Tamandua tetradactyla: one gene and its partners. The protein of the gene in region 1 purifies or fractionates together with the protein of each later gene. This does not show direct contact. Links are inferred from orthologs where the notes say so. Each region holds a gene or a part of one and is shown on either strand. Other genes may lie near its edges.

Region 1 (7,691 bases):
CCTGCCCCAGGCAGAGATGCTGTTTTATGCTCAGCAAATTAGAACATTTGTTTAATTAAGACGACACAGATTTTGTTATTCTAAATATTTTTGGAACATGATGCTTAGAAGGGAGCTGTCAAGGCATGGATTTTTTTTTCCCTTTCCTTTGGGATTCTCTTTCTTTCCCTCCAAAAGAAGGGTAGGGCCCAGGCTCAGAGAAATACTATGGCCAACCCCTCCTCTCCTTTTGAAATAAAGATATCAAGCTGGTAAGGGCTGTTTTAAGTACTTTATTGAAGGATTAGCTAGAAGAGGAAGTTAAGAAAGCACAGCCATCCTGGCTTCTAGCAATACCCTATCAGGCAACACAACAATGCTGCATTTTTTTAGTGTGCTTTTCTTCTTTTAAGGAGCTAACAGATCTTTGTTTTGTTGTTTTGGGTTTTTTTTTTTTTTTTTTTTTTGAAGCAAGAGCAGGCAAAAGGCAGGCTGTGATTTACATGCATCCTTCATCCTACAAGAGAGCAGTTGTCCCATCTCTAACCCCTCAGATTAAAAAGTTTAAAAACAAAAAGGGCCTCTTTCATCTACCCTCACAAGCCTTAGGACAAGCATCCGCACAGAATACACCTCTCCAATTGCCCCTCTCCCAGGAATAACTCCCCAAATCTAGCTGGCCAGCCCCAGCTCCAGGTACCAGGACTTGCTGGAGGTGGAGAGTGGGGCTCTTCAGTGTCACTGGCCTGGCAATACCCAGCAGCCACCAGGGACACGGTGACTCTCAAATTACACTGAGCAATCTTGACACTTTTAATTACCTCCCAATTATCCACTAGATGACGCCTCACTTTCCAACACCATATGCTTGCCTCAGTTTGCCAAACCTGCAACATGCTCCTTCCTCACAGCTGCTTTCTCCTCCCTTCACACAGAACTAGTCTCCCTAGGCCTTGGAATTCCTCGAGTCCTTTGTCTATGGCATTCTTGTGATGCTCATCACAGGCTGCCTTTGTGTTCCTGTCATTCTGCCACTATGTCCCCTGGAAGACTGCAAACTCCCAGATGGCAGAGGCCTCCTCCAAGAGGCCTCCAGGATCTCCACTCAGGGGTGAGGGGGGGAGCTGGATCATTTCTCTCAATCTCCATGACTCACAGTACCTTTCTGGGGTCCCTGTCATCTCCACCTCACCTCACTTTAGAGTCATTGACAGATTTGTCTGGGCTCTCCCCTAAATGCCAGAGGGCAGGGGCCAGGTCTTACTCAACCTTGCACATACCCCCACCCCCACCCCCACTCCGTGGCAGAGTTCTTGGCAGAGAAGCCAGTCAAATATTTGCTCAATTACACATCTCTGTACCCCCACCCCACCCATGGCAGCCTTATATATAAATTGACAAATATTAGTGGGGCGATTGTCTAAATAGGCCTTAGAGCAGCTTTCCTCCTCACCAAGAGGTTTTCAGGCCGGCTCAGAAATGGCCATAGTGTTATCCCAAAAGGAACTAAGCTTCCTTCCCCTTCAACAGTTACTCTAAAATCCTGCTGAGAGGGCTCGGTGAACCGAGAAGCGTCTGGGGCCCTAAAATCAGCCGTCCTCCGGACCTGGGACTTCCCAGGAACCTTCTCCTTCACACCGGCTGGGTGGGGCGCCGGCAGCAGTCCTGGCTCTCACCCCACCACCACCACCACTACCACCTTCAAGGCAGCAGGCGAGCTTCAGCCCTGGAAGTCACTACGTTTCAGTGTGAACAATGGGCATCGTGAAGGGAACTGGGGTGCTCTGGTCCTACCCGGGGCCTTGGAGTGGCCCCAGGACGGGGATGGGATGAGGACTCCAGCACAGGGAGTGGGAGGAGGGGTTCAAAACCCTGGATCCGGCCCAAGCAGACAAGATGCGATAACCCAAACCTGGACCTAAAGGAACAGGATGCCGCTTCTAGCCGCATGGCCCGGGCGGGGCGGCCGCGGGTGCGGAGGAATCAGGTGCACGCTTAGGCCGGCCCGACGGCTGCGTGCATTCCGAGGTTTCCTTCCTCTCCCCGGCAATAGCAGTCAAAGGTTGGGGGGGGTGGGTGTTCTTTCCTGCGCCGCGGCCGCGTCCCTGCCGGGTCCCCCTTCCCCACGCACCCCTCCGTACCTCTCCTCCGCCCTCCTCCAGGGCCCGACCCTTCGCAGCAGGGCGAATGAGGAAGTCTGCAGCCCAGGGCGGAAACCGAGCCGAGCGCAATGTCTGCGGCGGGATTGTCCCATTCTGACTCAGGAGGCCGCCCTGACAGCTGCCAAACGGTCTCCTCCCGCCCGTTACCTCCGTCCCCAAAACGCATGGAAACTTCCAAAGGAGCCCCTGCCCGGAGCCCTGACTGCTCGAGTCCCCCACAGCACCTCCACCCGCCCGGCTGGGTCCAAGGGGCAACGGCTCCCCGGAAGAGGTTAAAAAAGTTCTACCAAGTTGGGCACTGGGCGAGGGGAGAGCGGGGCGCGTGCCCCCGGCGGTCGGACGAGGTCGGGGTCCCCAAGTGCCGGGGCGGGGGGGACGTGCCCGGCAGCGGGAGGGAGGGAACCGTGGCCCGGGAGCGCGCGGCACCGAAGACTTCCTCCGCTCCCGGAGGCCTCGCTCCCAGGGGCGCCGTCCCCTAGCACCCGCGCAGGGGTCCCGCAGTCCCTCCGGAGAGGATGCGCTGCCCGGTCCGGGGTCGCCGGCATTCGCGCCCGCCCGCGCCGGTCGCGGGCCACGCCGGGGCCGACAACCACAGTTCGGCCCGCGCGCCCCTGACGCCGCGCGCCCCATCGCCGCCGCCCCCGCCCGCCGGCCCAGGGCGGGACCCGCCGGTGGGGCTCGCTCACCTGGACCTGGAGGAGCCCCGGGGAACAGGCGATGCTTCTCCCGAGGGAGCGTTCTCGAGCGCTCGGGTGGCGGCGGGATGGGGCGAACGCGCGAGGCGGGAGCGGCAGCAGGTCAGCCTCGCCGAGCCTTCCGTGCCCTGCCCAGGAACCGCGGTGATCTGCGCGCCTCACCGCACCCAGCTCGGATCCTCGCCGCCCCCCCTGCCCCGCCCTCTCAGTCGCCGGTCCATTCCCAGTCCGAAGCCGGCTAGTGAGCGGAGCAGGGAGGAAAGGCCCCGCCCCTAAGCTGTCTCGCCCACTCCTGTATGCGCCGGGTCTTGATGGAAGGACATCTTGACCTGTGGAAAGTGGGGTGGGCGGAGCCCCTGGATCAGAAGGGTGGGGACTGGTCCTCCCCATCCGCCCCCAGCTCCACCCGCTCCACCTTCCCCCGCGCTTCCTAGGCGGGAGCCCCGCCCTCCAAGGGCGGGTCCAACGGACAGCCAGGTTCGAGGAGGAGGATTGACGCAGTGAGCGTCCAATCAGGAGGAGGCGGCTCCGGGCGCGGACGGCTCCGGAACCCGGCTTTGGTGCATTGCCTGCGCTGGGGCAGGCCCGGCGGGAGCGGACAGGGGAGGCTGGCGTAGCTGGCGCCCGGCCCCGCGGGCTGTTTTTTCCCTGTCCTATGTCATCCTACCAGAAGAACAGATATTAAGTACCATATATGGAAAAAGTGCTATTTTACAAAATTATTATGGCCTGTGGGAGCGGGCGTGGACTCAGTCCCGGATTCCGTTGTGGGCATCCGGAGTTCGATTCCTGACCCTGGCTATTTAGAGTAAAGCACGCTGCTTTGCTTCTTGGAGTCTCCAGACATTTGCTCAGTCCCTCTGCCTGGAATGCCTTTCCACTCCTCTGTTCGCTTACAAAATGTTTTCTTGGCTCTTTTGGGTAAGCGAATCACTTTTCACCAAAGATGATAACTATTTATTATTTTTTCTATTTTTTAATTTCTAAATTTATATACACTTAGCTTTTAGTCTACTTAGAATTTATTTTGGTTCTAGAGTGAAGAAATCCGACGTGATTTTTGTGATAGTTGTCCAAACACCATTTTCTCTACTGATTTCAGGTACCACCTTCATCATATGCTGAACTTGTATATACTTGGATGTTTCTGAGTTTTGTCTGTTAATCTTCCCTGTGCCAGCTCATTGCAGGTTTATAATACATTTTATATCTGTGATGGTTTGAAACTACTATGTGCCCTCAGAAAAGCCATATTTTAATCCTGATCCAATCTTGTGGTGCCAGACCTATTGTTTAGGGTGGGAAACTTGGGTTTACTTCCATGGAAATGTGACACACCCATTCAAGGTGGGTCTTGATTAGTTTACTAGAGTCCTTTAAAAAGAGAAACATTTTGGAGAAACCTCAGATGCAGATGCTGGGAGAACAGTTGCTTCAGAGCTGACAGAGATGCACACACCACGCGCTTTCACATAAGATGCTAAGCAAGCCAGAACCCAGAGTTGTGTCCTGGAGGAGCTAAGTGAAAGCCCACAGATGCGTAGACAGGAAACCACTGGCATCAGAAGCTGACCTTCCCATGTGACAGACATTGGCCTTTCTTGAGTCAAGGTATCTTTGCTTGGATGTGTTAGTTTAGACATTTTTATGGCCTGGCTTAGAACTAAATGTGTAACTTATTAAATTCTCTTATTAAAACCCATTCCATTTCTGGTATATTTTGGCAGAATTAACAAACTAATACAATATCTGAGAGAGCAGATTTCTCCTCATTACTGTTTGCTGTGGAATAGCCTTGCTCTTATGACTAACTGTTCTCCCAAATGAAATTCAGGAAAAAAAAATTATGTTCTAAAGAAAAAAAAGAGTTTGCAACTCTGTGACAAAGACTTATTATCAATAATAGGAACTCTTTCCAGTCAATAAGAAAACCCAAAAAAACTCCAAAATAAAAATGGCCAAAAACGGGCAATCCAAAATGAAGAAATATAAATGGCTAATAATTTTTAAAATTAAGTATCAGAAAACGGAACAAAAACAACATGGATGCCATTTTCACTTACCAAATTAAAAAAAAGAAGAAAAATGTCCAGTTAGCCAAGTTGATAAACACAGTGGAAAAGTAAATTGACCAAAGAATTCTGAGAATTCATCTTAAGACAAAAATGGAGACATGCACAGATATTTGTGTATTAGAGCTCTCTAAAGAAACAGAACCAGCAGGAGATATCTGTAAAATATGAGATTTTAAAGGTGTCTCACACAACCATGGAAATGGAAGCGCCCAAAATCCATAGGGCAAGCTGTGACACTGGCAGCTCCGAAGAAGTCTTGACGAACTCCACAGGAGAGGCTTGTTGACTGAATAAACAGTGAAAATTCTCTCTCCTTCCTTTAAAGTCTTCAACTGATAGGTCCAAATCCAGGTGATTTGATTAACTTATTTGGGAGGAGGCACTCTCTTAGTTGATAGTAAGCTGCAATCAACTGACTGCTGATTTAATAAACCAGCCTTCTGGCTTATCAACCCGCCATCAGATATCCTTGCAGCAACCATTAGGCCAGTGCTTGCTTGACCAGACAACTGGGCATCATCAGGAGGCCGAGTTGACACAAGAATCTAACCATCACAGTGTGTTAAAAAGTTCTTCTTTGCAACATTGTTTATAGTCTCTAAATGTTATAAATGAATTAATATAGTAAGAGATTGATTACATTTTGATACATCTATATGTTTAAAAATACCACAAAAGGGCATTTAAATTGTTATGTAAATTTGTATATATTGGTTTAAAATATACTGAGGAAGAATAAACTATAGAATGCTACTGTAGTGGAATTTCATTTATTTCTATGCAATTTTGTATGTGTTTGCATATGTATGTGTTTTTCTCAGAGAAAGAATTAAGTTTAAAAGGCATTAATTTCATCAAAGTGTAAATAGGGATTATGTATTGATAGAGGGACTGTGATTGATTTTTTCTTATCTGTATTTTTAAACATATGTATCACTCACATAATTAAGAAAAGATTAAAAAGACTCATTTCGATATCCCCTCTCCCCAGATGTCTTCCCTGGCCCTCCAGGCCAGGTTGGGTGCCTCTCTGTGATCCCACATTACAAGCATTTACCTTCCTTCTAGCACTTACACACTGGATTTTAAACTTTAAACCATTTACTTGCTCTTTCCCTACCCAGGCTGGAAGCTACCTGAGGACAGACAGGGGCTGTGCCTTATTTGTCTTGCATAACATGGTCCTCAATGCATGCCTGAGCAGGTCTCTGAGCCTCTGTTTTCTTATCCATAAAATCAGTGTAATCACCAGGACTTGACTCACCCCTAGGACTGCTGAAAGAAGCATAGGGGACCATGACTGCTAATCAGTACACATTATTGATAATAATATTTCCATTTACCTCAAGCCTCCAGCCTCCTAGCCCCACTCTTTCCTTGTAACTGAGGTCATTAAGAAGATAGAAGGTCTGCCACACCTTGATGCTTTCCTGAATAAGGAAGCCCTCCTCCTTGCCATCCAGCCTAACCCCTCCTCCAACCTCTAAAAACCTGTACCTTTGATCCTTTCCACTCCCAGAATATTTTAGAAAAATATTTCGTCTGTTTTGTCTGAATGTTATATTTGATGCAGAAAGTAATAAAAAGAAAGAAAATTGAAACCACATATAGCCTTATGTAGCAACTATTAACAAACCTTGTTACTTCCTTCCAATGCACACACACACACACACACACACACACATCTGTAAGTGTGCGCACATATGTACAAGTATATATGCATATATTCTATATATTTTAAATAAAATTGGAGGATGCAAACATATATATGACCACCTGATTTATTACAAAGTTAGCACATTGCAAATAAGTAAGGAATGGATAATTTTTTTAGTAAATGGTGCTGGATCAACTACATATCCATGGGGGTAAAATTAATCTCGACCCCCTGCATTACACTATACATGAAAATAATTTAGGATGGATCAGAGACCTAAATATGAAAAATAAACAATAAACCTTCTGAAAATAACTGTTCAAGAATATGTTCATGACCTTGAAGTAGGCAACAATTTCTTAAACATAACAAAAAAAGTATTAACTATGAGACAAGATTGTCAACATGAACTTCATTAAAATGAAGAACTCATCAAAAGACACAAGTAAAAGACTGAAAAGTCAGATCACAAACTGGAAGAAAATGTCTACAATATATAAAGGTAACAAAGGATGGGACCCAGAATTTATCAAGAATGTCTACAATAAGAAAAAATGATAATTTTTAAAAATGAACAGAACATTTGAATGAGCAGCACATCAAAAAAAAAGGGCATCCAAATGGCCAGCATATGAAAAAGTACTCAACATGATTAGTCATGGCAGAATTGCTAATTAAAACCACAATGAGATACCACTATTCCCTCATCAGAATGACTAAAATTAAAATGCCAAGTGTTGGCAAGGACTGGGAGCAACTGGGACTCTCAGACACTGTGGTGGCATAAATTGGTACAGCCATTTTGGAAAAAGTGTTTGGTTGTATCTACTAGAGTTGAATATACAGCATATACTAGGACCCAAGAATTCCACTCTTGAGTCTGTACTCAACAGAGACAAGTACTGAACCCACCAAAGGCAGGTACAAAAATGGACAGAGTCTCTTAAAATAACCAAAAACTAGGGGGGAATGCCCATCAACAGCAGAATGGATATACTGAGTATGTTCATACAATGAAATACTACACAGCAATTAAAATGTACACACTAAAAAGAAAGGGAAAAAAGTACATACTACTGTTACATGTGAGGCCAGAGATGACCCAAATTTCCATCACTTGAAT
Region 2 (7,943 bases), on another chromosome or scaffold:
GCTGGAAGGTGGACAGCGAGGCCAGGATGGAGCCGCCGATCCACACGGAGTATTTGCGCTCAGGGGGGGCGATAATCTGGGGAGGGAAGGGAGACCGTCAGCCTGAAGATCCTATCCTGGTGACGCAAAGGGCTGGGGGAGGGGCTGGTGCCCAGGCCCCAGACCCGGAGATGAAGGCTCCCCTTGACCACCAGAGACTCACCTTGATCTTCATCGTACTGGGTGCCAACGCTGTGATCTCCTTCTGCATCCTGTCGGCGATGCCCGGGTACATGGTGGTCCCGCCAGACAGCACCGTGTTGGCGTAAAGGTCCTTGCGGATGTCCACGTCACACTTCATGATGGAGTTAAAGGTAGTTTCGTGGATGCCACAGGATTCCATGCCTGGAGGGAGAGAGACTGGTCTTAGCTTCCCTGCACAGCAAGGCAACCCGGGCTGGGGGGGCGTGGGGGGCCTGGCCTTAAGGGGGAGGATGGCGGGAGCAGGGCTAGGAGGCCACGTGGTCACTCACCCAGGAAGGAGGGCTGGAAGAGGGCCTCGGGACAGCGGAACCGCTCGTTGCCGATGGTGATGACCTGGCCGTCAGGCAGCTCGTAGCTTTTCTCCAAGGAGGACGAGGAGGCGGCGGTGGCCATCTCCTGCTCGAAATCCAGGGCGACGTAGCAGAGCTTCTCCTTGATGTCACGCACAATTTCGCGCTCGGCCGTGGTGGTGAAGCTGTAGCCGCGCTCGGTGAGGATCTTCATGAGGTAGTCGGTCAGGTCCCGGCCGGCCAGGTCCAGACGCAGGATGGCGTGGGGCAGCGCGTAGCCCTCGTAGATGGGCACGGTGTGGGTGACCCCGTCGCCGGAGTCCATGACGATGCCCGTGGTGCGGCCAGAGGCGTACAGGGACAGCACAGCCTGGATGGCCACGTACATGGCAGGGGTGTTGAAGGTCTCGAACATGATCTGGAGGGAGAGGGGTAGTGGGGGGCTCGTCATGTCCAGGAGGGGACAGGGACAGCTGGCCACACTGGGGACATGCAGAAGAGTGCAAGGAACACAGTAAAAGTGTGCTGGGGAGGGGGACACGGGGGCAGGGGCTCAGTCCAGGCCTAAGGTGGTGCAATCAGACACACTCCAAGGCAATTTACACCAGCGTCCTTGGCTGCCACCGAGCCAGTGTTAGTACCTAAATCCACAGCACTTTAGGAACACCTAGTAAAAGGGACAGACACCAGAAAGAGGATTCATCTGGGGAAAAAGCAAACAGAACCTGCAGAGTTCCAAAGGAGACTCAGGTCAGAGAAGAGAGTCCTATGGAGAACGGCAGAGAGAAGAACAAGTTGAGAGGAGGGAAGGCACCGCAGGGAGAGGACCGCGGGCCGCCCGGGAGAGGCGGGGAGCACTGACCTGGGTCATCTTCTCACGGTTGGCCTTGGGATTAAGGGGGGCCTCGGTCAGCAGCACCGGGTGCTCCTCCGGGGCGACGCGCAGCTCGTTGTAGAAGGTGTGATGCCAGATCTTCTCCATGTCGTCCCAGTTGGTGACGATGCCGTGCTCGATCGGGTACTTCAGCGTCAGGATGCCTCTCTTGCTCTGGGCCTCGTCGCCCACGTAGGAGTCCTTCTGGCCCATGCCCACCATCACGCCCTACGGAACAAGGGACGGGGTCAGCCCCTGTGCGGGCAGCCCAGACCCCCCCCTGCCCCCGGGACCTCACCCAGCTCAAAGCGGGCCTGGCCGCCCTACCTGGTGCCGGGGGCGCCCCACGATGGAAGGGAAGACGGCCCGGGGCGCATCGTCGCCCGCGAAGCCGGCCTTGCACATGCCGGAACCGTTGTCGACCACGAGCGCAGCGATGTCATCATCCATGGTGAGCTGCGGGTCGGGGGGGCGAGGCCGTGAGCGGGGGAGGGGCCGCCCGCCCGCCCACTTCCGGCCGCCAGAGGGCGCCGGCGCGCGCCCGGCCTCGGGACAAAGGAAGCCCGGCCGGCCGCGCTATTTCCATAAAAGGCAAGTGCGGGTCGCGGCGGCGGCGCCGCGCGGCAGGAAGCCAGGCCCCGCCCCCGCCCGGCGGCCCCGCCCCCGCCCCGCTCAGTTGGGGCTCAGCGGCCACACCCTCGGCGGGGGCGCGGGGCGGCGCGCGCAGGCGCCCTGGAGGCCCGCCGACCCCACCCCTTCCGGGAGGGCCGGCCCCGCCCTCGCCCTGCGCCCCGGCCTGGGCCGTGCACCCCGGCCCTGCCCGCGCCCTTGTCCGGCCGGCGATAGACGGGGGTGCTATGGTGGGGGCAGTGGGGAGCGGGGAGCACGCACTTACGCACGCGCGGTAGCGTCCCAACCCCCACCCCGGCCTCGCTGCGCCCACCCTGGGGACAGGGGACAGCCACCTGCCCGCTTGGACAAAGACCCGGCCGGTCACCGCGGCCTCCCCCCACCCCAGGACTCCTCCAAGCCGCTCGCTACGGGCTCATGGTCTCGGATCCAGAGCTGGGGAGGGAGGTGGAATCCCGCCTGTCGCGGGGTTTGGGGGCGGCTCTCCACGGGCGACGTGGGGCCGCGGCTGGAGACCAAGTGGACGCTGCCACGGGGCGCTGCCTCCAGGGCATGGAGGCGCGGGGACCCTGCCTGGGCGTCGGCCATCAGCGCCCGTGGACCCTCCCTCCGCGCGGGCCATCCGTGCGCGGGGGACCCTGCCTGGGCGCCGGCCATCAGCACGCGGGGACCCTGCCTGGGCGCCGGCCATCAGCACGCGGGGGGACCCTGCCTGGGCGCCGGCCATCAGCACGCGGGGACCCTGCCTGGGCGCCGGCCATCAGCACGCGGGGAACCTGCCTCTGTGCCCGGCCATCAGCGCGCGGGGACCCTGCCTCGGTGCCCGGCCATCAGCGCGCGGGGACCCTGCCTCGGTGCCTGGCCAGAGCGACTTACCTTGGAGGTGGCGAATGTAAACCGGCGGTGGTGGCGGCTGAGCGGCGAGAGGCCTGTACTCGCGGGGTGGACGCGGTGTCGGCGGTGGCTGCGCGTCGCGCCGCCGGGTTTTATAGGGCACTGCCGTGGCCGCTCGAGCCATAAAAGGCAACTTTCGGAACGGCGCGCGCTGATTGGCCCCGCGCCGCTCACTCACCGGCCTCGCCGCACAGTGCAGCATTTTTTTACCCCCTCTCCCCTCCTTTAAAAAAAAAAAAAGGAGCGAGCGAAAGAGCGTGAGCGAGATTGAGGAAGGGAGGGCGGAGGAGGGAGAGAGTTTTGGCGTTAGCCGCCCTTGGGTGCCGGGCCCATGGGCCAGGGGTGCAGGCCTGGGGTCGTCCCCCGGATGGGCAGTGTCCACGCCGGCCCTGCGGGCCAGGCCTGGTTTCAGGCTGCTGGTGTCGCCGCGACCCCCACCCGTGACCCTGTGGGTGTGGATGTCACATGAGCACAGCAGGCCTCGGTGGGCAAGGGGTCAGCATGGAAGCAAGGGCGCTGGTTGCCGCAGGCACGTGCTGAAGTTGCAGCGGCATTGAGGGGGACACAGGCAGGGGACGGTCACAGTCACTCCCCCTTGCCAACATTAGCTCAACTGCCCAGGAGGCCTGGCCTGGGGGTACTCTGGAGGTGTTTGCTGGGCTGGCTGTGGGCTGGGGCCCTTCTCAGACACCTGGGGCTGAGCTTCCCTGGCGGAAAGGCTGCAAGCCTCCCCTGCTGCAGGGAAACTGTTTCCAAGGAGCCAGGCTGCCTCTGACGCCCGCCTGGTCACACCCAGCCTAAGCCGTTAGCTGTTGGGTGGGGTTGGCAGGGCTGACTCTGCCCCCCTTCGAGGCTGGGCCCCTCCATCCATCTTCCGTCATGGACAGCCACAGCTGAGCTGCTTCCCTGGACCATCTGGAGGCCGGGAAGGACTCTGGGGAGGAACGCAATGTGCCAGAGGGGAGTTGGGGGGAGGGCAGTGGTGGGAACCCAAAGCCAGCTGGTCTCAGAGAAGACCCTCTTCTCAACCTTTCTTGCCCTGGGTCTGTGCACCCCACATTGGGCAAGACCCATGTCTCTGGGAATGTTCGGTGGGGGGCGGGGGGCGTCCAAAATGGACAGCCCAGTCCTCTGTCCTAGGGTTCCCAGGTGGGGACACATGAAGATCAGTGTGTGTCAGACAAGCCTGGCGCCCGGGGACTCAGCCTGGAGGACCAGGGGTGGGCTTAACTCGGGGTGACAAGAGGCCACAGGCATTCTTCGTCCCTCTGTCACTGGCCATCTCTGGGCACCCGATGGCGGTGAGAAAGCGGGAGGACCGTCGGCCCTGTGGGGATGGAGAGCCTGCGGCTGGAGAAGAGGTGGCTTGCTCCAGCTCGTTGGATGGGCCTGGGGGCAGGGTAGCACCACAGAGGCCATCCCCAGGTGGGAAGAGAGACCCCCACGCAGCTACAGCAGAGGCCACACGGTCCAAGTCACATGCCAGCCTTCCCAGAGACCTGCCAAGAAGCTGCGGCCACTCCCCCATCCTCGCGTGGGCCTGGGTAAACTTTCCCAGCCTGTCCACTCGCTGCCTCCCGGAGGCTGGCAGCTCTGGCCCTGGCCTTCTTTCTCGATCACGGGCATCTCGCCAGCCACCTCACGACCTGCCAGCCCTGTAATTCACCAGGCCAGGGGGCACCCCTTTGCGCTGCCTGTCGATGAGCCTGGTGGGGTACTGAGTTCGGGGCTACAGGCATAGGGTGGGAGGTTCTTGGGGTGGCTCTGGGCACCGAGTGGGAAACACTGGTCCCTGAGCAGGACCTGGGCTGCCCGCTGGCCTATGGTACCCACTGTCTGCAGCAGCCACTTCCTGGTGATCTCCTATGCATCCTTCAAGGCCCATACCAGAAGGCCCCTTCTTAGAGAGGACTTTAGCATCATTATCCTCCACTTTCCTCCCCACATAAGACAGCTACCCTGGACTAGTATTGGTAATTTGGCTTTTGAGGGTATGTCACTCCCACTTTCCTGCCTTGCTCACGCCCCCCATAACCCCCTCAGGGCCCTGCTCTGTTGAATGAAGAAATGATTGGCTGGGTGTCCTCAGTCCAGACTCTGGGGAGATGAGGGGCCAGAGGGGCTGGGCAGCAAGCCTGGGGCAGGGTGGGATGGGGCCTGGCCAGTAAATGGGCCTGAGCAGAGCAAGAAAGCAGGGGAAGGGGAAAGGGGAAGTGCAGCCTGCTGGGGGAGGGGGAGGAGGGGAGGGAGAGGAAGTGAACAGGTTATTCTTCACTCGGGAACTTTGCCTTTGCGGGGTGGGGTGCGGGGGTGGGGGTGGGGGTTCTGCCGAGACTTGGGGCCGGTTGGGTCCACCATGAACCTGGGGCCCAGCACTGGGTCCCAGGTCTCTTGGTTCCTTCACCCTGCCAGGCCCCAGGCTAGGGTGTCCGTAGCCTTTTGGAGCCAGATTCCCCCACACCCCATGCCCTCTCCTGCCAAACAGCCACCAGCCACCAAGCCCTGGGCCTGCCGGGTAGGCAGCCCAAGCTCCTTTTTTTTCAGAGGGAGGGTCTGGGATAGGGCTGAGCAGGAGAAGAGGCCCCCCTTTTAGACCATGGGCCACAGGAAGGCAGGGACCCCGCAACCAGAGGGCTCTCAGTGAGGGGTAATTGAATGAAGGGGTGAGGCAAAGGGGCTAAGATATTCCAGCAAGCACACCCCCTTTTTACAGATGGGGAAACTGAAGCAGGACTGGTAAAGCACCCAGGGCTTAGGCTCCTGTGTGAAGGGTGCTGAGCTGGGCTCGGGGTCCCCAAAAGCAGTGGCCTCACCTCCTGCCTTATACTGCCCCTCCCTGAGTAAAGCCTGGAATGTCCCAAGGGAATGGGTCCAAAGGTGCTTCCAAACTCTAAATTCCTGGGCCCTGCCTCACTCCTCAGCACTTGTCTCCTGAGGCTCAGAGAGAACAACCACCAGCCTGCAGTCACACAGCAATCCATCCTGAGGGCCTAAGCTTCCTCTCTCCTCTGCCTCTTGCATCCCCACTTTCCCTGTTTGCAGTATGATCTTAAGAAGAAACCTCGGCTCCTTTGAGCAAGTGGACCTCAGGAGTCTTGAGGTCCTGGGAGGGCCTATGCTTGGGGTCCCTCACCTCCTGCCAGACTTCTCAGTCTTCAGGGAGGGGTCAGCTCTTGGACTGCCACCTCCAGGAAGCCTGCCGTGACCTCCTCCTTCCTCTACCATGACTGAGAAGTAGAGACCCAGCCAGAGCTTCTTAAAGGGTAGTTCAGGAAGGCCTCCCTGAGGAGGTGACCAGCCAGCTAGGGGAGGTTGGAGAACAGCCTGGTCAAAGGCCCAGGGGCAGAGAGATGGGCTGTGCCCTGGGCAGCACCCTGGCTGGCTCCCCAGACCTGGCAGCCTCTGCCCCACCACCCAGATTCCCCCACCCCCTAAGGGGTTATCTGGGGGGTGGGAGCTGTCCTGGAGAAACTGGGAACTTCTAGACACTTCATGGGGGAGTTTTTAAAAATCCTTAAAAACTACCCTCTCACTTCCACTCCCCCAGGGCACTCAGAAAAACCTGCCCAGCCTTCCAGGGGGGTTCCCAGACTTGCTTGAATGATTAAAAAAAAAAGAAACAAAAAGCTTCCCTGGGCTTCCCCTCCACAGGCTCACCAGCTATGCCCTTTTATCCCATGAAGGTCCTTGGGCTGACTGTGCCCATTCTCTGGATGAGAAGCCTAGACCCCCCCAGAGAGACCCAGGGGGCTGCAAGGAAGGGGCCCCTTGGGGGCGGGGTGGGGCTGTCCAGGTGAGCTGGGGTGGATGCTCCTGTCCCCTCTCTCGTGTGCACAGCGACCTGCTCACAGCCACCCAGAGGTCACGGCAGCCTCTGGGGCAGAGGATGGGGGGCCAACAGCCACGGCAGGTTCTGGGGACTCCTGGCCCTGCCACCTGGGCTGTGAACCGAGCAGGTGTGACACGTGGCTCCCAGGTGGCCTGGGGCGGTCACTGTATGGAGGGGGACCCCTGAAGTGCCATTTGGGCCCACGAGGGCTGGTGGATGTCAGGGGTTCAACCTCCTCCTGGCTGGGTGGCCTTTTCCCCCCACTTTCCTGCCCAGCCCGGGGGGGGGCTCGGAAATTCCCACAGGTGTTGGGCCACTAGAGGTCCGGGGTGGGGGTGGGGGCACCCCTCCTGAAGAGCCTGAGGAAGTGAAAGGGGAAGGGGGGAAGGAGGTGTTGGGAAAGGACGGGCGGGGTGGCCGCTGACTCACGGAGGCCACTGGCTCCCCCATCTCCCAGCCCAGCCTCCCCTTCCTGGTCTCCCCCCATGTCCGTGAGAGGAGAAGGGAAAGCATAGTGTCTGGGGCCAACCGTGGGCCGGGCCTAGGTCCAGAGCTAAGTGGGAATCTCCCCATTTCTCAGAAGGGCAACCGAGTCCCCGTGAAAGTGAGAGACCTGGCCCTGCAGTTAACAGCCCAGTCTGGCTATTGCTAGACCTTACTGGAATTTGCTGGAACCTGGAATCCAGAACCGGGTGCAAGGCCAAGGTCCATGGAGAGCCTCGAAGGGCCCCACAGAGTCCTTCAGCCTCTGCAGTCACTGCTCTTGGCCCCATACTTCAGATGGGCAAACTGAGGCTCAGAGTGGCCAGGGACTTGGCTGAGTGGTGGCAAAACCTGCACCCAGCCACCCTGGGCCTGGCAGTGGGAATCACGCTGGGCCCCTCGTGCAGGCCTCCTCAGCTGGCACCGGCTGCTTCGGTGTGGGGCGTGGTATCTGTCCTAGTGGGAATCCGATCGGCTGTACCACATAATCAGGCTCTCCTCGGCCAGAGGTTTCTGCCATCTGCTGGGCTCACCAGAACCCGAGCTGGCCCCGTGCCAGCTGCTGGGGACACGGTGGTGACTACTGAATGCCACACAGGGCACCAGGCAAGGTCTGAAGAGGCCCCGGGCCCATCGAGGCTCAGGGAAGGATCCCAGAGGCAACCCCAGGCTTGGGTTTTGCTTTTTGTTGCTGTTGTTT
Region 3 (7,589 bases), on another chromosome or scaffold:
TTCATATACCTTAATCCTCAAAAAAACCCTGAGGTAGCTTTAGCCATCCCATTTTACAGATGACAAAACTGAGGCTCACCAAGATTAAATGACTTGCCAATCGTGAGATTGCTGGAATAAGGCCACAATTAAAAACAGGGTCTAATTTCCATTACAGATACTATGAGAGCTCTGATTATATTTTATCTTCACAGTTGGAGTGGGGTGAAAATTATCAAAACCAACCAAAACTCTGTTTCCTGAACCATCAAATTGTCCAACCTTTATTCAAGTAGTTTATTTAAAAAGCTACTTTGGAAAATTTAGCTTCACTATGAATTAGAAAGCTGATTTTTTAAAAACTGCATATGCATTTAATATAATGTTTATTATAGGTCTATATATAAGAGTGCATGGGGAACATAACCAGTAAGGACTTAAGAAACATTTGGATACATCATTTCAACTTGGATTGAAAAGTTTACAGACAGTTTTGAAACATTTCACTGCTTGCAATATTGAAAACAGCAAATTATTTCGGATTTTTTCAAAGGAAAGTGAGAAGGGTATTAAAATAGAAATAACCTCAAGTTTCAGAAATCTTAGCTATTAAAATCTCACAGGTCACAGACATTTTAGGCACCCAATAAATCTTAGTAAGTATACTGGGGAAGTGGGATGACAATGTGTTAATATGTTATATGTCAAACACACTGCAGGTACACAATAAATTTTGTTGAAGGGACTGGGCAAGTGGGATGAGAAGTGTTCTCAAACCTCTGACTAGTAAGTACCCGTACTTAAGAAATTAATTTTAAGCCATGAAAAAGTTTCAATATAAGAAAGATAAAATAAAAACACCTTACATAATATCTGAAAAGACATAAAAGCACTATATTTTTATTTTTATAAATTATAGGCAGATTCCTCAGGGATGGGACAATGTCCAGAAAATGACGTACATACTACCACTCACAACAGTTAATAAATAGTGACACAGTAAGACTTCCGTAGTTTACATTTTAATTTTGTAAATGAGTTATTCATTTAAGTTTTTACTTTTTTGTAATGCTTAATAGTGTTTATTTAAAGCACTTCTTGTCAGCCTTAGGACTCTTCAAAAGCATCATTAATATTGCATTCATCTCATTAAAAATGCTATATATACCTTAGACTTAAGAGTCGGGGTCTAATTCCAAAGCTCTCTCATGCATATGACAAAACTTCTCTTCTTTTCTCCTGAGTTGTAGATTTTATTTCATGGCTTGAAAATAATTTAAGTAAGGGTACTTACTAGTCAGAGGTGTGAGAACACTTCTCATTCCACTTGTCCAGTCAATTCAACAAAATTTATTGTGCACCTGCGGTGTGTTTAACATGTAACATTTTAATGCTTGTACTTCTTAAACTTTAGGTCATTTCTAGTTCACCTTCCTTCTCCCCACCCCCAAAATGTCTGGATAATTAGTTGCTTCTCTCAAATACTGCAGGAAATGGAATGATGTAAAATTATTGGTTAAATTCATATTTCATCATCACCGAGGGTTAACTTTGGACAATAAATCCCATCTGCTATTAGTTTACTTTATTAACAGCATTTTAGCCACTTAATTAGAATTCTAATCAGATTCTGTATTGTCTCTATTTTAGCACACCCATAAGAAGTTTTTAAAAATTTAGAGACTAAATTATCTTTCTAGGACGCTAAACTTAACCAAACAATGTCTGTACTACATCTATTTTTAAAACCCTAATGGCCTAAAGCATTTGTCGTATTCGATTTTGGCTTTTCCAATCAAAACCTGCACACCAAAATGAGCAAAGTTCCCTTCCCATTCTCTCAATTAAAAGGAAAAAGAAAAAAGGGGGTGGGGAGCAATTATTTGCAGGTCTGCATTTAATACATTCTCTGGCAAACCCACTAACTCGCATTCAACTTTAGAATCTTGGCAACGAGGAACACTTGAACAGTCTGTGAACGCAACCCTGAGGCTTGACACGCCAGTTCCTCCGTCGTCTTCCCTTCCCATCAGTCCACCTCCCCAAACCCCAATTCACCAAGCATACGCCTGAAGATTTCTTCACCAAGAGAGTCCAAGACCTCGAAAACATCGAGAGCGCTTCCCTTGGCAGGGAAAGGACAGCTCTTTCCTGACCTGGACCCTGGCTCAGCCGGCCTTTCAGCGAGCCAGGCCTGCTCTTGCAGTCCTGGACGCCCCACCCCAGGCTCGCTCCTGTACCCTCAGGCAACAAAACCCTCCCTTCCGCGCAATCAGGACTGACAGTTACAGAGGCAGCAAGCTCTGCCAGAAGGGGCCTAATTCTTGCACCGGCCCCCCGAGACTACGCGCCCCCAAATACTCACCCTGGCGAGAGGTGGAGGGTTCAGCCCGAGAGGACAGAGGAAAGAAGGCCGCGCCCCACTCCGCCTGGCCCACCCGCTAGGCCTCTGACAAGACACTGACCTGCCGTCGCTCCCGCGCTTGGGCCGCGGACCTCGTAGCGGCAGCCGACTCACTGGTCGTCGTCGCCCTCTCCCGCCGTCTCCGCCCGCCGCCTCCGCCCGCCACCGCCTCGTTCCCCTTCGCTGCCGCCGCCACCGCCGGGGCTCATGCGGGACCCGCGCTTCCTTCTTTGGAGGCCGAGGCCGGCAAAGTGGCTAGGGACGCCGAGGACCCCACGCTCGTCGCCAGCTGTTGCTCTACCGCTGCCTGTCCACACCGGGGGGGCTGCGGGCCTGACTGGCCGGGGATAGGCCGCGAGCCGCTCAGAGACCGCCGGGAGGAGAAGCCGAAGGAGGCGCCGCCGCCCGCGGCCGAAAGAACCGGATCGGCGGAGGCGAAGCAGAAGGCGGCAGCGGCGGCAGCTGTCGGGCGCCGGGCCGGTGGCTGGCTACGTGGCGGCGGGGTGCGCGAGCGAGCGGAGGGCGGGTTATCGGTGCCCTGTCGTTTCCTGCAGTCACCCCGAGCCCAGCGCCACCATCTTGGGAGAAACACAGAACTCGCGGCCGCAGCGCAAGCCGGGAGGACTGGATGGGCGGGCTGAGTATCCCGGCAGGCTGCGCGCGCCGCGGCCTGGAGAAGGCTCCGGTCGGGGACGCGGGGACGCGGGGCGGGGCCGGGACGCAGGCGGGAGGGCTCCGCGCCGCAGCCTCTCCCAACCCCACCGTCTTTCCTAGCCCGCTCCGGTTGCCGCCGTCCGCCGCGCGCACACACACACACACACACACACACATACACACACACACACATACACACACACACACCTCAGTGCAATCGCCGCCGGCGCAGGGATCGCTGGGAAGAGGAGGTATCCCGCGGCTACGCTGAACCTCTCGATGTTCCGTCGCCATCTTGGAACTAGGCCGGAGAAGCAATTCTGCCACCGAGCCGGGCTGTCAGCGATGCAACAGAAAGCGGAGGAGATACTTTCCGGAAACCTCCTTAGTCTTTAGGAGGGTTGGAGAGCCCCCTTGTCCACCCACCCGAGAAACGTGCTGGGACTTGGTCGCCCCTGTTTTGTCTGGAACGAGTCGTCTCCAAAAGGCAGCAGAGATGGCACTGATAGCCCCCAGCCCCGAGGCGGGATAGAAACCTCCTTCCCTGCTAGATCTTTGATCCCATCCTCTTTCTACCTGAAGCCGCCCATGTAAACACTGCGAATGTAGCCCGAGAGTGTGGGCCAGCTTTCAGAGGCCAAGGTCATCTGCTTAGTCCTCTTGCTTATTACAGGATGTGTCACTAGTTTACAAAAGAAGAAAAGGTAAAAGTCAGTTAACTGCAGTACTGATACATGTAGGTTGTCTCTGAAGAGATGTGGCGTCTTGGTTGACTCCAGTTGCTGTGTTGAGGTTAATTTTGATCCTACTGACAACTGAACCTATTTAAAGCCATGCAAATTGAAATCATATTTGGCATCAGGGTCCTCGTCTTATTTTAAAGAGATTATTTATGGCTTTGTAATACTTGATAACAAAGCTGTAATGATATCATGAACAATTAATACTCCTACAGGTTTTCAACTTTGCCAACAAACTCTTTAAACAGTGTTCCTATTTGATGGTAGCATAACATTGTGCATATAATTAGCAGTAGAGAAATATAGATCTGAATGTGGCTAAAACGGGAAATGTTAGAATGCAGGTATACAAATAATAAAAATTTTTTTAAATCCATGAAACTATACCACACAAACAGGAAACCCAAAGTTAAACCATGGGCTAAAGTTAATAGTACAATTATCAAAACGTGCCATCATCAATTGTAACAAAGGTTCCACAACAAATGCAAGGTGTTAATAATAAGGTGATATGTGGGAATCCTATATTTTATGCATGATTGTTCTTAAACCCACAACTACTATAATAAAGGGAAAAAGGCACGTTAGAATAAAATATTTGGAAAATTAAGGAAAGCCAGTAAAAAGAATATTGTGTGTTGCTCCATTCAAGCAATATTCAAATTTTTATGGATACAATCATATATAGCAGTATAGTTTTGTAAGTAATATTATTAGAGTATCCTTTTTTTAATATAGGCAGGAATAATTAATAGAACCCCTCTCCCAACTATAGAATATTTAACCAGCTATTAGAAATAAGCTGAAGACATTTAGATTATTCCAGAATTGAAAGCCATGTCCGATTTTATGATGTTTTAACTTGGGTCCTTATTCAGTTGCTACTTCTATTTTCATTCACTCCAGTTACAGAGCTTCATTTGGAAACTACTTGCAGTTGTATTTTATGGAGGGAAATAATCTTTTAAAGGTTTATATTTATCTTTATTTTGATACATAAGCCAAGAGGAATGAAAATCATTAAAGACTTTCTTGTTAGAACTAAAAGCAAAATGTTACCACTATAACATGTGAAGACACTTTTTAGCTATTCTACTTTCTCTTAAGTAGAACTTGAATAAATGAATGTTTTAAAACTTGATGTATCAAAATGTGTCTGAAATCCCTGAGTTCCAAAAAGGTTAGACTTGAGGGAAATAAATCTACTCTTAGTTAGATGTCTAAATGACTATCCAGTTATTTATTAAGATATTTTGATGTTAGTAGGGCCTCTTTGGAATCTCGGAAATTACTCATAGCCATTTTAGTTCATTAATGTTAAATATGTATTCTTGTGTGTGAATTAGCACCTGGGAGACTCATAGCCTAAACCTTTTAGTTCATTAATTGTCTCCCATTTAGACCCATGTTTTTCTTCAGGTGTGTCTTCCCAAAAAAATTACTTGGTATCTAGTAAGTGAGCAGTAAATTTTTTAGACTATTTTAGTTAAAATGAGATCCAGTCATTTCTAATGATTTTCTCATTTCAGGTGTAAAGTGAAAGTGTAATTTAATTTTTTTCAGCATAATGCGTTAATTCCTTAAACAAACTTTGAGCTTGTACTATTTACAAAATACTGTGCCAGGCCTTGAGAAAGAATAAAAGATCAATAATCCCTATCCCTGTCCTTAAGAGCTCACAGTTCAAGGGGAAGTCATACCTGGCCACAGTAAAACTGTGGACAGTTTATCAGAGTAATTCAGTTCTTTAATGATCATGAGAGAATTCACTAATACATTTTTTTTTAATCATCTTGCTGTAAATTTCTGGTTGTATTAGTTGCCTAGGGCAGCGATAGAAAATTACTACATCCTGGGTGGTTTAAAACAACAAATTTATACTTCTACAGTTCAGAAGGCTAGAAGTCCAAAACTTGGGTATTGGCTGGGTTGGTTTCTTCTGGAGGCTCCAAGGAAGAAACGATCCCATACTTTTCTAGCTTCTGATGGTTGCCTTGGTATTCTTTGACTTGTAGACGCATCCCTCAGGTTTTACCTCCATCTTTATATCGTCATCATCTCTGTATCTATCTGTGTGCTCTTCTCGTCTTTTAAAGACACCAGTTATTAGATTTGGTAAGATTTTATCTCAAGATGCTTAACAAATTATGTCTGCAAAGACCTTATTTCCAAATAAGGTCATATTCTGAGATTCTGGTTAGGCTTGGATTTAGGGGACACTGTTCAACCTACTACACCGGTGATGTTAAAATTTTCATAGGGCTATTTTGGTTCTTTAGCTTTCTTATTAATGGGAGTTACAACAGATTAATTAAAGTGTAAAAACATGGGCAGGCCACAGTGGCTCAGCAGGCAAGAATGTTTGCCTGCCATGCCAGAGGACCCAGGTTCGTTTCCTGGTGCCTGCCCATGTAATAATAAAAAAAAAATGTAAAAACACTATTACTCAGCATGCCCCTGGATCAGGATTAAGCTGAGTGCCTGGATGAAAAGAGGGTCAGATATGGTGGGGTAAAGTCACTGTTGCATACGTTACTTGGTAATAACACTTGTTTTTAGGCTACATCAAAATGTTCAATTCCCAACTATTGAAAGAAACTAAGCTTTCATTATCTGATTCGCTCCCTATATTTAACTAATGTTTTTGAAGCAAAATTAGTTCCATGTAGAAGAGTACCTGGCACATGGTAATTATGCACTAAATGTTAATGCTTGCTGTCTCTGTAAACCAACATGGCAGGTGAACTCTCTGTGCTCCCCCCTACCTGGGGCATGTCTCCCAGAGGTGTGAATCTTCTTGGCAGCGTGGGACTTGACTCCCAAGGATAAGCTGGAACCTGGCATCATGGGATTGAGAGGGCCTTCTTGACTTAAAAGGGGAAGAGAAAAATGAGACAAAGTTTGAGTAGCTGAGAAGTTTCAAACTAAAGAATCAAGAGGTTTTCCTGGAGGTTGTTCTTATGCATTATGTAGATAATCTTTTTGGTTTATGTTACATTGGAGCGACTAGAGGGAAGTACCTGAAACTGTTGCGCTATGTTCCAGTAACCTTGATTCTTGAAGACGATATATAGTTTTTACTGTGTGTAACTATATATAGTTTTTACAATTGTGAAACCTGGTGACTGGCACTCACTTTATCCAGTGTAGGGGCGGATGAGTAAAAAAATAAGTATAGGAAATAAATAATAGAGGGGGAATGCGGGGTAAAAAAAATTGGGGTTAATTGCAATACTGATGGTCAATGGGAGGGATGAGTGTGGGATATGGGATGTATGGGCTTTTTCTTTTTCCTTATTTCTTTTCTTGCAGTGGTACAAGTGTTCTAAAAATGGACAACTATGTGGTAATGTTATGGGCCATTGATACTTTGGATGGACTGTATATGTGTGAAGATGAATGTGAATATTATCGATATCATTATTTACCATTACACACTTCACAGCTTTACACCTCCACCCTTACCCCTACAGATCTATCTAAATCTGGACACCTCCTTACCTCCTGCCTTCTTCCTTTCTAAGGCAATATTTTTTTTCTTTTTTGGCATGGGCAGGCACCGGGAAATTAGGCCTTTTTTTTTTTTTGTCTTGTTAACACTTCATCATTCCATCTCCAGTCAATAATCTCTCCTGCTCTACTGAATTTGTTCCCTTGTATTTATAAGAATTTTCTGTGCTTAAATTGCCACTTCCTTCCAAGGCCCTCTTCAACTACTAAAATTAGGCTTCTGCCCCCATTTTACTCCACTTTGCTTGTGTTAATGTCACTAATGGCAGAACAGCCAAATGCAAAACACAGTTTTGCTTGTA

The links.
Region 2: the proteins of MYH9 (region 1) and ACTB purify together in Homo sapiens (affinity purification with western blotting; 4 studies listed by BioGRID and IntAct, with this or other methods). This does not show direct contact. The link is inferred for Tamandua tetradactyla from reciprocal best matches to the Homo sapiens genes MYH9 and ACTB.
Region 3: the proteins of MYH9 (region 1) and UBE3A purify together in Homo sapiens (affinity purification with western blotting; 3 studies listed by BioGRID, with this or other methods). This does not show direct contact. The link is inferred for Tamandua tetradactyla from reciprocal best matches to the Homo sapiens genes MYH9 and UBE3A.

The regions. Positions count from the first base shown.
Region 1 is NC_135333.1:28,689,452-28,697,142, forward strand, and holds the start of MYH9 (myosin-9), read right to left. Parts: upstream 3,016-7,691; 5' UTR 2,828-3,015; intron 2,140-2,827; exon of another isoform or gene 2,121-2,139; intron 1-2,120. UniProt on the Homo sapiens protein: Cellular myosin that appears to play a role in cytokinesis, cell shape, and specialized functions such as secretion and capping. Required for cortical actin clearance prior to oocyte exocytosis. Promotes cell motility in conjunction with S100A4.
Region 2 is NC_135349.1:4,685,505-4,693,447, forward strand, and holds the start of ACTB (actin, cytoplasmic 1), read right to left. Parts: upstream 3,013-7,943; 5' UTR 2,914-3,012; intron 1,864-2,913; 5' UTR 1,858-1,863; coding exon 1,735-1,857; intron 1,636-1,734; coding exon 1,396-1,635; intron 952-1,395; coding exon 513-951; intron 385-512; coding exon 203-384; intron 77-202; coding exon 1-76. UniProt on the Homo sapiens protein: Actin is a highly conserved protein that polymerizes to produce filaments that form cross-linked networks in the cytoplasm of cells.
Region 3 is NC_135338.1:78,190,476-78,198,064, reverse strand, and holds the start of UBE3A (ubiquitin-protein ligase E3A), read right to left. Parts: upstream 3,013-7,589; 5' UTR 2,445-3,012; intron 2,179-2,444; exon of another isoform or gene 1,341-2,178; 5' UTR 1,274-1,340; intron 1-1,273. UniProt on the Homo sapiens protein: E3 ubiquitin-protein ligase which accepts ubiquitin from an E2 ubiquitin-conjugating enzyme in the form of a thioester and transfers it to its substrates.